Linked DNA regions of Mus musculus. The protein of the gene in region 2 interacts with the protein of the main gene of each other region in a biochemical or structural test. Links are inferred from orthologs where the notes say so. Each region holds a gene or a part of one and is shown on either strand. Other genes may lie near its edges.

Region 1 (4,335 bases), on a different chromosome or scaffold from region 2:
ACAAGCCAGCATGGTCTACAGAGAGCCAGGGATACAAAGAGAAACACTGTCTCCAAAACAAAACAAAACCAAAAAAAAGAAAAAAAAAGAAAGAAAAACAAATACTTATACCTAGGGCTTGGTGTTTTAGGGCTATAATCTTAGTTACTTGGCAGGCTGAGGAAGGGAGATCATAAATTTAAGGCCAATTTGAGCTATGCACATCCTGAATCAAAACGAAACAAGGTTGAATGTGGTGATGAATTCCATCATCGAGGCCAGCCTGGTCTACAGAGTGAGTTTCAGGACAGCCAGGACTACACAGAGAAACCCTGTCTCGAAAAACAAAAAACAAACAAAAAAACGAACAAAAACTAAACAAGGCTGGGAGTTGGGTGGATTTAACTCTGTAAGGCACTCTTCCTAGCATGTGGGAGTTCAACCCATAGCACTAAAATAAATAATTAAATGTATCCTTTAGTTCACATAGACATTAGTGGTTGCTTACCTTCCTGACCTGTGTGTGCTCCTTAAAAAAAAAAAAAAAAAAAAAAAAAAAAAAAAAAAAGTGAAGCTGAACAAATCGGCTGTAGCCAAACACACATGGCAGGAGAGAAAATTCCTGACTTCAGCCAGTGCTCTGTGGCAATCACAAGCGCACTCACACACAAATACTTTAAAACATACAGTTAAAACTTTTTAAGGCCAGATCTGTGACATTTGGAAACACTACAAAATTTGAACACGTGTTGAGGTCATCGGGTTGCCAGGCTATCCGTGTTCCTCTGCTTCCCCGTCCGGGAACACTTCTTTCAGGGCAGCACAAGACAGACCAGCAGGCTTTTCTGGGGAATGATCAGAGGCACAGAAAGGGCTTCCAACAGAATCCCCAGAAATCTGAACCCAGCACTTCCTCCTTTATAGCCTCGCCGGGCGGCGGCTCGGTTTATAATTCCAGTACTTGGGAGACAGAAGCAGGTCGGTAGTTCAAAACCATCCTTGGCAACACAACCAGTTTAAGACTAGCCTTCGCTACATGAAATTTTGCCATAAAACAAACAAACAGGCCAGATTTGCTGGCACACGCCTCTAATTGCGACTTTAATTGTACTTCCGTAAGTCAAAGTTGGAGCCGGGGTCTCCAACCAAGGAACTGAACAGAAGCGGAAAGGGCGGAGCCGCGTCTCTGCCACGTAAGGGCGGAGAGGCCACTGTAGTTTGCTTGTGTGCCCTCAGCCCCACTTCTGCTTCCACGGCATGCTTTAATCTCCCGAGAAGCCTTTCTAAAACCCTGGCGCATCTGGCTTCAGAATGCATTTGTACAGCGCTGCCAAACTAGGTTGCGTGGCAGAAGAAACGACGATACTTGAGACCTACTCTCCCAGTTCCTCCCACTTCTCAGTGCAGCTATCTTTGAGCAGCAGTGAATCATGGGAATCCCCGCCTTGCTCTCCGAGTATTTCCGGTTCCGGCGGAGGCCGCTCTTTCTTTTTCTCCACAGGGTCGTGGTGGCAGCCGCTGTGGTGCTTGGCTCTCTGAGCTATCCGGTGCCATCCTTGTCGCTGCGGCGACCCTCGCATCAACTGCAGCCATGACCGAGCAGATGACCCTTCGCGGGACCCTTAAGGGCCACAATGGATGGGTAACACAGATCGCCACCACACCGCAGTTCCCGGACATGATCCTGTCTGCGTCTCGAGGTACGGGCTGCATGCCGGGTAAATCACCCGGTGTCCTGGGGACTGCATGAGAGTCTCGTGGTTAAGCAAGTGGCGCGCGTGTTGGCTCGGTTCATTCCCCAACCCAGTTGTTAGTTGGGGCGTGCATACCCCAACTTGGGCCCCAACCGGGACGACCCTTTACACATGAACGGAAACCGAGACACGTCGCGCAACTGTACTCACACCCCACCTCCCAAAGTTGGCGATTTTAAATCTCTCGCTTGCTTCCTGGAGATGTGTTTAAGTAGTTTTACGGGGCTACAAGACGGGCGGAGCAATGATGACCCCAACATGCCATCTGAGTGGCTTTGCTGAAATCCAGAGGCTGTTTCTGAGCTGTTGTCGCCTGGCCCTAAACTATAGACAGTGGGTAAACTTTGTAGATGCCTTGTTCCCCACATTTCCGGACTTGATTGTCCCGCCCTAGGTTTTCTTGTAACTAATGATTTTTTTTCTTTAATGATGTATCTTCATGTGTATTTCCTCCCTACCCACCCCAAAATTATGCTCATTTTCTCTCCTACCTAATACTAGGCTTATTATTGTCCGTTTCTGTGTAAGTTGGTTCGTGGCTAGGATTGTGTCTGATGCTACAATAACGGCTGCATTTATTTCAGTAACTCTCAGGCGGGAAAGGCTGTCTCTGCTCAGCCTACATACACCCAAGTGGTGCTTCTGCTGTTAATTAGTCTCGGGCCCGGACGATGACTAAGGTTAGGGTTAGTTTCCCAGACCCTGCATGGTAGCTTGCAGTCATCTGAAACTAGTTCCAGGAGACCTGACACGCACTTCTGAACACCATAGACACAGGTAGCACACATATGTATGTAGGGAGCCACTTTAAATAAAATACATTTTGAATGTGGAACTTAAGTCTCAATCCCAGGAAGTGTGGTGCCCATAGTCTCACATTACAGCTGAGATCTACAGCTCTTGATATTGTAGAGTAGTAAGCCTCTTTTATTTATAACTTGAAGTTTCTCTGTCCCGTTTACTGGCCCCAGTGACTTTAAGACTGTAAATGGTGCACAGTAAGTAGGCTTATACCAACCTTTACCAACCCTTTTAGACAAGACCATCATCATGTGGAAGCTGACCAGAGATGAGACCAACTATGGCATACCACAGCGTGCTCTGAGAGGTCACTCCCACTTCGTTAGTGATGTTGTTATCTCCTCTGATGGTCAGTTTGCCCTCTCGGGCTCCTGGGACGGAACGCTGCGCCTCTGGGATCTCACAACGCAAGTAGCTGCTTTGGAATCTTGGGGGGAAAGTGGGCAGAACTGAGGTAGATTCGCCGGGGTGCAGTCTCCCCTTGGTAATTGGTCCTTTTGTAGAGGGTAAAGCAACATTTGGGGGTGTTGTTTTAAACTGGGTACCTATGAAGTGTCTCATCTTGTACGTTGTCTTAGATGGGCATTTGGCAGATGTAATAGAGGATCCTAGTGATGACAAGACGACATTGTCAACCAATCCCCCACAAGGGAATGAGGACATGTCCTGCAATTCTGAATGGGTTCTCTGATACATGTCAGACATGACATAGGCTAGTAGTAGGTTCTAAGCCACGTGTGGACTGTGTGGGGTAATAGAGCCTACGGGGCAAGGATGAAGCTAGGAAAAGGCTCTAGCTGGATGGACAAAACCTGTCTAGAAAGTGACCAGGTTCTCCTTCTTAGGGGCACCACCACAAGGCGATTTGTCGGCCACACCAAGGATGTGTTGAGCGTGGCCTTCTCCTCTGACAACCGGCAGATTGTCTCTGGGTCCCGAGACAAGACCATAAAGTTATGGAATACTCTGGGTGTCTGCAAGTACACGGTCCAGGTAAAGGGATAAGGGTGGTAGGGACAGCATGTTCAGGGCTACCTCCCGCCCCCTGGGGACTTGGGTTGTTTCTGAGGTGGGTTCCTCACTAGGTAGTCCTGGTGGCCTGGAGTGATCTGACTCCTAGGTGTTGGGGTGAAGCTGTGTGCCACCGACTGCCTCTTTAGCTTTTCATTGTGTGTTGTTAGTCCTGTGACTGTCTGGGGTTGTTTTTTGTTATTTTTAAGCTAAGCATGCTGGCTTGTGACTGGCATGGGACTTACAGGCGTTGGAATTTTATTTAAGTACGCTGTAGCTGTCTTCAGACACTCCAGAAGAGGGCATCAGATTTTGTTAAAGGATGGTTGTGAGCCACCATGTAGTTGCTGGGATTTGAACTCAGGACCTCTGGAAAGAGTAGTCAGCGCTCTTAACAGCTGAGCCATCTCACCAGCCCCAGAATTTTTTATTTGTTTGAGAAGGGGTTTCTGTGTAGATCTGGCTGAGATGGGTGTGCTTTTAAACTGCTGGGGTTAAAAGGCTAGCTAGAGGTGGTACTTCCCCCTTTCATTCCATATTAGGTTGGGCCATGGAAACCCAAACCAGGGCATAAATTGGGCAGGGTCTTGGCACATACGCAGATACCCAGATATCTACTAAAACTGCCCTAAGGGTTAAATGATCTTAAGTCTCTCACCTACCTCCTAGAGATGTGTATTTAAGGGGCTACAAGCCAGGCCCAACAGTGATGACCACAACATGCCATCTGAGTTGCTTTGCTGAAATCCAGAGGCTGTTTCTGAGCTGTGCCTGGTCCTGTACTCTATGA
Region 2 (3,614 bases):
CAGATATCACAGATGTGTCCCAGGACAGCCTGAGAGACATTAGTACAATTATGCAGAATACCTGACCTTGAGCTCAAAAGACTCCTGTGCCCTCAAATCATCAAAGACTCCGAGTGGATTCCCCTAAGAGCTACTGCTGCTAAACTAGAAAAGGAAATAAATGGGAAACTAAGCAACGAGACGAAGCTAAGCTAAAACAGTAACTTGGTGTGTATAGGAGAGTGCTTTCAAGTCAGTTGGACCTAGCTGGGGAACTGAGCACCTGATGAACCTGTTTCAGGATGGGTACCAGGATAATGCTCACTTCCCTAGATCACATTCCTAAAATGAACTTATCAGGCAAGATGGTCCTGTGGCTCTAAATACACTCTGTAAATGTGACTGCCCATGGCAACCGTTTTCAACCACTAGGTGGCAGCAGAGCCTCAGTTTTTGTCCCTCAGGCACTGAAGGCTCAAGTCAATGGTGAGGGATAGGGCAGGCTTTCCTTGAACTTGTTACCCTAAGATTCTCTGTTGTCCCACTCCTACCCCACAAGCACCTCTCTGGGAGACAGCTGCCTCCTCCCTTGGCCTGTCCTTGAAGGAAAAGCCTCTTGATGAAGCCATCTTCTCTAAGAACTCACCAGGTTTCTGAAACGGCCCTTTCAAAAAGGAGTTATAGTTTTTAACTTTTATATGGTTTAAGCAAACTCTGACCACATTAGGGCTCAGCAGGTCAGTGCTACTAAACCCTTCTGGGGCCTCAGAAATTGGCCAACTTAACAAAACCGACTCCTTCCGTGATGAAATGGTGAGGCCTTGTATATACAAATTAGTTACGTAAGTCTACAGAGTTTGTGTCGCAAGCCTGGAAGAAACGGTTCCTTCAAATCCCCACACCATTGTGTCTAGTTTTTTTGTACTGGTTTTGCCGTGAGGAACGGGTAAGTCTCTGCCAGTCCAGCACAGGTGAATTCCTATTCTCTGAGTATCACAGATGCTCACCACAGAAAAGCAGATAGGCCCTTCTTTCTGCCCTTTGTGTGTCTCCTCTCCTAGGCAAATTGCTGTGTTTTCTCAGTTCAGACACAAAACAAGTATGCAGAATATTATAGTGATTGGCATAGCTCCCAACAGGTTAAAATAAATTTTGGAGGCCCCGGATAGTTCTCTGGCCTGCATACCCCCTCCCTCCCTCTTTAAGACATAAATTCTTCCAAATTTGGTGTTGGTCATCAAGACTCTATGTTCCCATTGGAAAAGTCTGGGGAGGAAGCAAGGATGCCTTCTCTGTTATCTGAAAAAGGGCACAGGCACTTCACGTTCCAGGAGACGCGGAGAGAACAGATAGGAGGCAGGAAGAAGATTCTGTGAAATTATAAGTCCTTTCAGTATCCTCAATACAAGGAAACCATAGGTGTCTGAGCAGTGCAGACATATGTGAAAATTATCTTGATTTGGTCATTATGATTTGCACATGTGTCAAAATATACCACGTCCACAAATGTATACTATTACTGTATTTTAATTACACATTCTTTGTTGCTGCTATTGTTGTTGTTGTTTTAAAGAAGGGCGAATGGAGGGCTCAGGTGGCCCAGAGATACATGAAGGTTACCTTGACTTGATGGTCACATATTGTACATGTGTCAGATATACTGTGGCCACAAATAAATACAATTATTATAATTTCAATTTCACATTTTGTTTTTAGAATGAAGCCTGGAAGGCTCAGCTGCCCTTTAGGCAGCTGAAGCCACCTCAAAGTGCTGAGAAGGTGGCTTTGAGGTTCCACAGTCTGAGGACTTCACTGTGGAGAAGGGCCACACTGGAGGCAGGAGCAAAGCAGCCACATTATGCACATTATGCCCCTCCGTGCACCTGTGACCTGCCTGGGCACTATCCCCACCCCCACCCACCCACCTCCCACCCCCTCACCCCTTCCCACCCCACCCCCACCCCCTCACATGTTCACGGAACTCTGGAACCCTGAAGCTCGGGCACCTCCCGATGCAGGAGCCTCGGGGCCACCTACCAACAACAATGAGAACCTCTCTGTCGATGTGGGCCTGGATATAGATGCGGCCGCGGCGTTCCGTGTGGTCAGTGCCGCAGAGGCTGGGGACGTTCATCACGCAGCGCTTGTGCACGTTCATCATACAGGCTGTGAGGGCAGAGAGAGGGAAGGGAGGAATGGCTCAGGCTGGTTCAGGTTGGCCCACGCTGGGGGCTCCAGGCATCAGCTGTACCTAGACCCACCGGTGCCTTCCTGTTCCCTGACCTTAGTGACACCCACCTAGCAGAGAACAAGTTACATCCTATCAGAAGGACTTCTCCAAATCTTTCTCCCAACCCTGATGCATGAAGGAAGGATGGGGGTCATTCTCCTTGAAGGCTAAGTTATAGCCTGAAGCAGTACCTCTATATTTCTATACTCCTGTGGTTCTGAAGTGCCAACTCAAATGCCCAGTGCACCATCCTGCAAGTGAGGGAAGATGTGGAGGTGGTCCCGTGGAGGACAAGGCCACACCCACCCAAGTAGACCCTATAGGAATGTTTACACGATGTTGTCAAACTGCCCCATGTTTAATGTCATCAAGAACACACTTACGTAAGATATCTCCTAGTTTAAAGTAGTGACATTAATAGCTTGAGTTCCCCAGAGAGCGGACACAACAGGGAGGTGGTGTATAGGAAGTGTTCTGCACGGGGATGAGCTGGCCCACCTTGTTATGGGGAGAAGACCTCAATACAGGACATCGGGTAACAACAGTACCTTTCCTACCCAGGGGTCAGGGGACACAGTGCAGACGTGGACCCTAAGCCATTAGGATAGAAGCCTCTCTTGTGGCACATGCCCCCCAGGACGTCAAGGACTTACTGTCGCATTTCATCCCCTGGTGAATAAGTCCATACAGCAGCGATCCACAGTGGTCACAGAAGGTAGGACTGGAGTACGTGTGGATCTTAAACTTGTGTTTGCTCCGGGGGTCCTGAGACCAAGAGAAACAGACAGAAGAGGCCACCGTTAGTGAGGAGAGCAGAGGACTGTGCCTGCATTGAATGGACAACTCATGAAGGACTGAACCGGGTCCTGCCATGCCCGTCAGGACCATCGCTGGAGCACCATGCACGGACTCGATACTAGACAAGTGGGGTCAGAGGGGTGGGTACGTAAGACAGATGACTGGTCAAACTCCATGTCCAGAAGGCATTCACAGGGCCAACCTGCAAATCCTAGCACTCAGCAGGCCCCCTGCTCCTAGCTCCACCCACCCCTTCCTTCTGCAAACAGTCTTCTAGAGTGATCTAAACCCAAGTCTAACCACAAAGTGTTCCCACTTACAGGTCATTTGACCCTCAGGGAACAACCTTCACAGAGGACAGTCTACAAGCCGTGGCCGAGAGGGCCGGGGTTCCACCCCTCCCTTTCACAGCAGAGCCCTTGAATTATAGCGGAGGCCATGCTCAATAGACACCAGAGTTCCTGGCTTCCTTTGTAGCTTGATGTGGCCATGGGTTCTGATCAATGGGAAGTATAAACTTCTGGATCATTCCATTAAAAGGAACATACATGTGCCTCTTGCCTCTTTTGCCCTCCCTACTGGCCAGAAAGTGAGAAAATGTTATGAC

The links.
Region 1: the proteins of Prkcb (region 2) and Rack1 form a complex in vitro, tested with the Homo sapiens proteins (2 studies listed by BioGRID). The link is inferred for Mus musculus from reciprocal best matches to the Homo sapiens genes PRKCB and RACK1.

What each region holds. Positions count from the first base shown.
Region 1 is NC_000077.6:48,798,894-48,803,228, forward strand, and holds the start of Rack1 (receptor of activated protein C kinase 1), read left to right. Parts: upstream 1-1,466; 5' UTR 1,467-1,570; coding exon 1,571-1,679; intron 1,680-1,971; exon of another isoform or gene 1,972-2,039; intron 2,040-2,769; coding exon 2,770-2,941; intron 2,942-3,139; exon of another isoform or gene 3,140-3,216; intron 3,217-3,379; coding exon 3,380-3,527; intron 3,528-4,245; exon of another isoform or gene 4,246-4,313; intron 4,314-4,335. UniProt on the Homo sapiens protein: Scaffolding protein involved in the recruitment, assembly and/or regulation of a variety of signaling molecules. Interacts with a wide variety of proteins and plays a role in many cellular processes.
Region 2 is NC_000073.6:122,456,575-122,460,188, reverse strand, and holds part of Prkcb (protein kinase C beta type), read right to left. Parts: intron 2,975-3,614; coding exon 2,863-2,974; intron 2,146-2,862; coding exon 2,017-2,145; intron 1-2,016. UniProt on the Homo sapiens protein: Calcium-activated, phospholipid- and diacylglycerol (DAG)-dependent serine/threonine-protein kinase involved in various cellular processes such as regulation of the B-cell receptor (BCR) signalosome, oxidative stress-induced apoptosis, androgen receptor-dependent transcription regulation, insulin signaling and endothelial cells proliferation.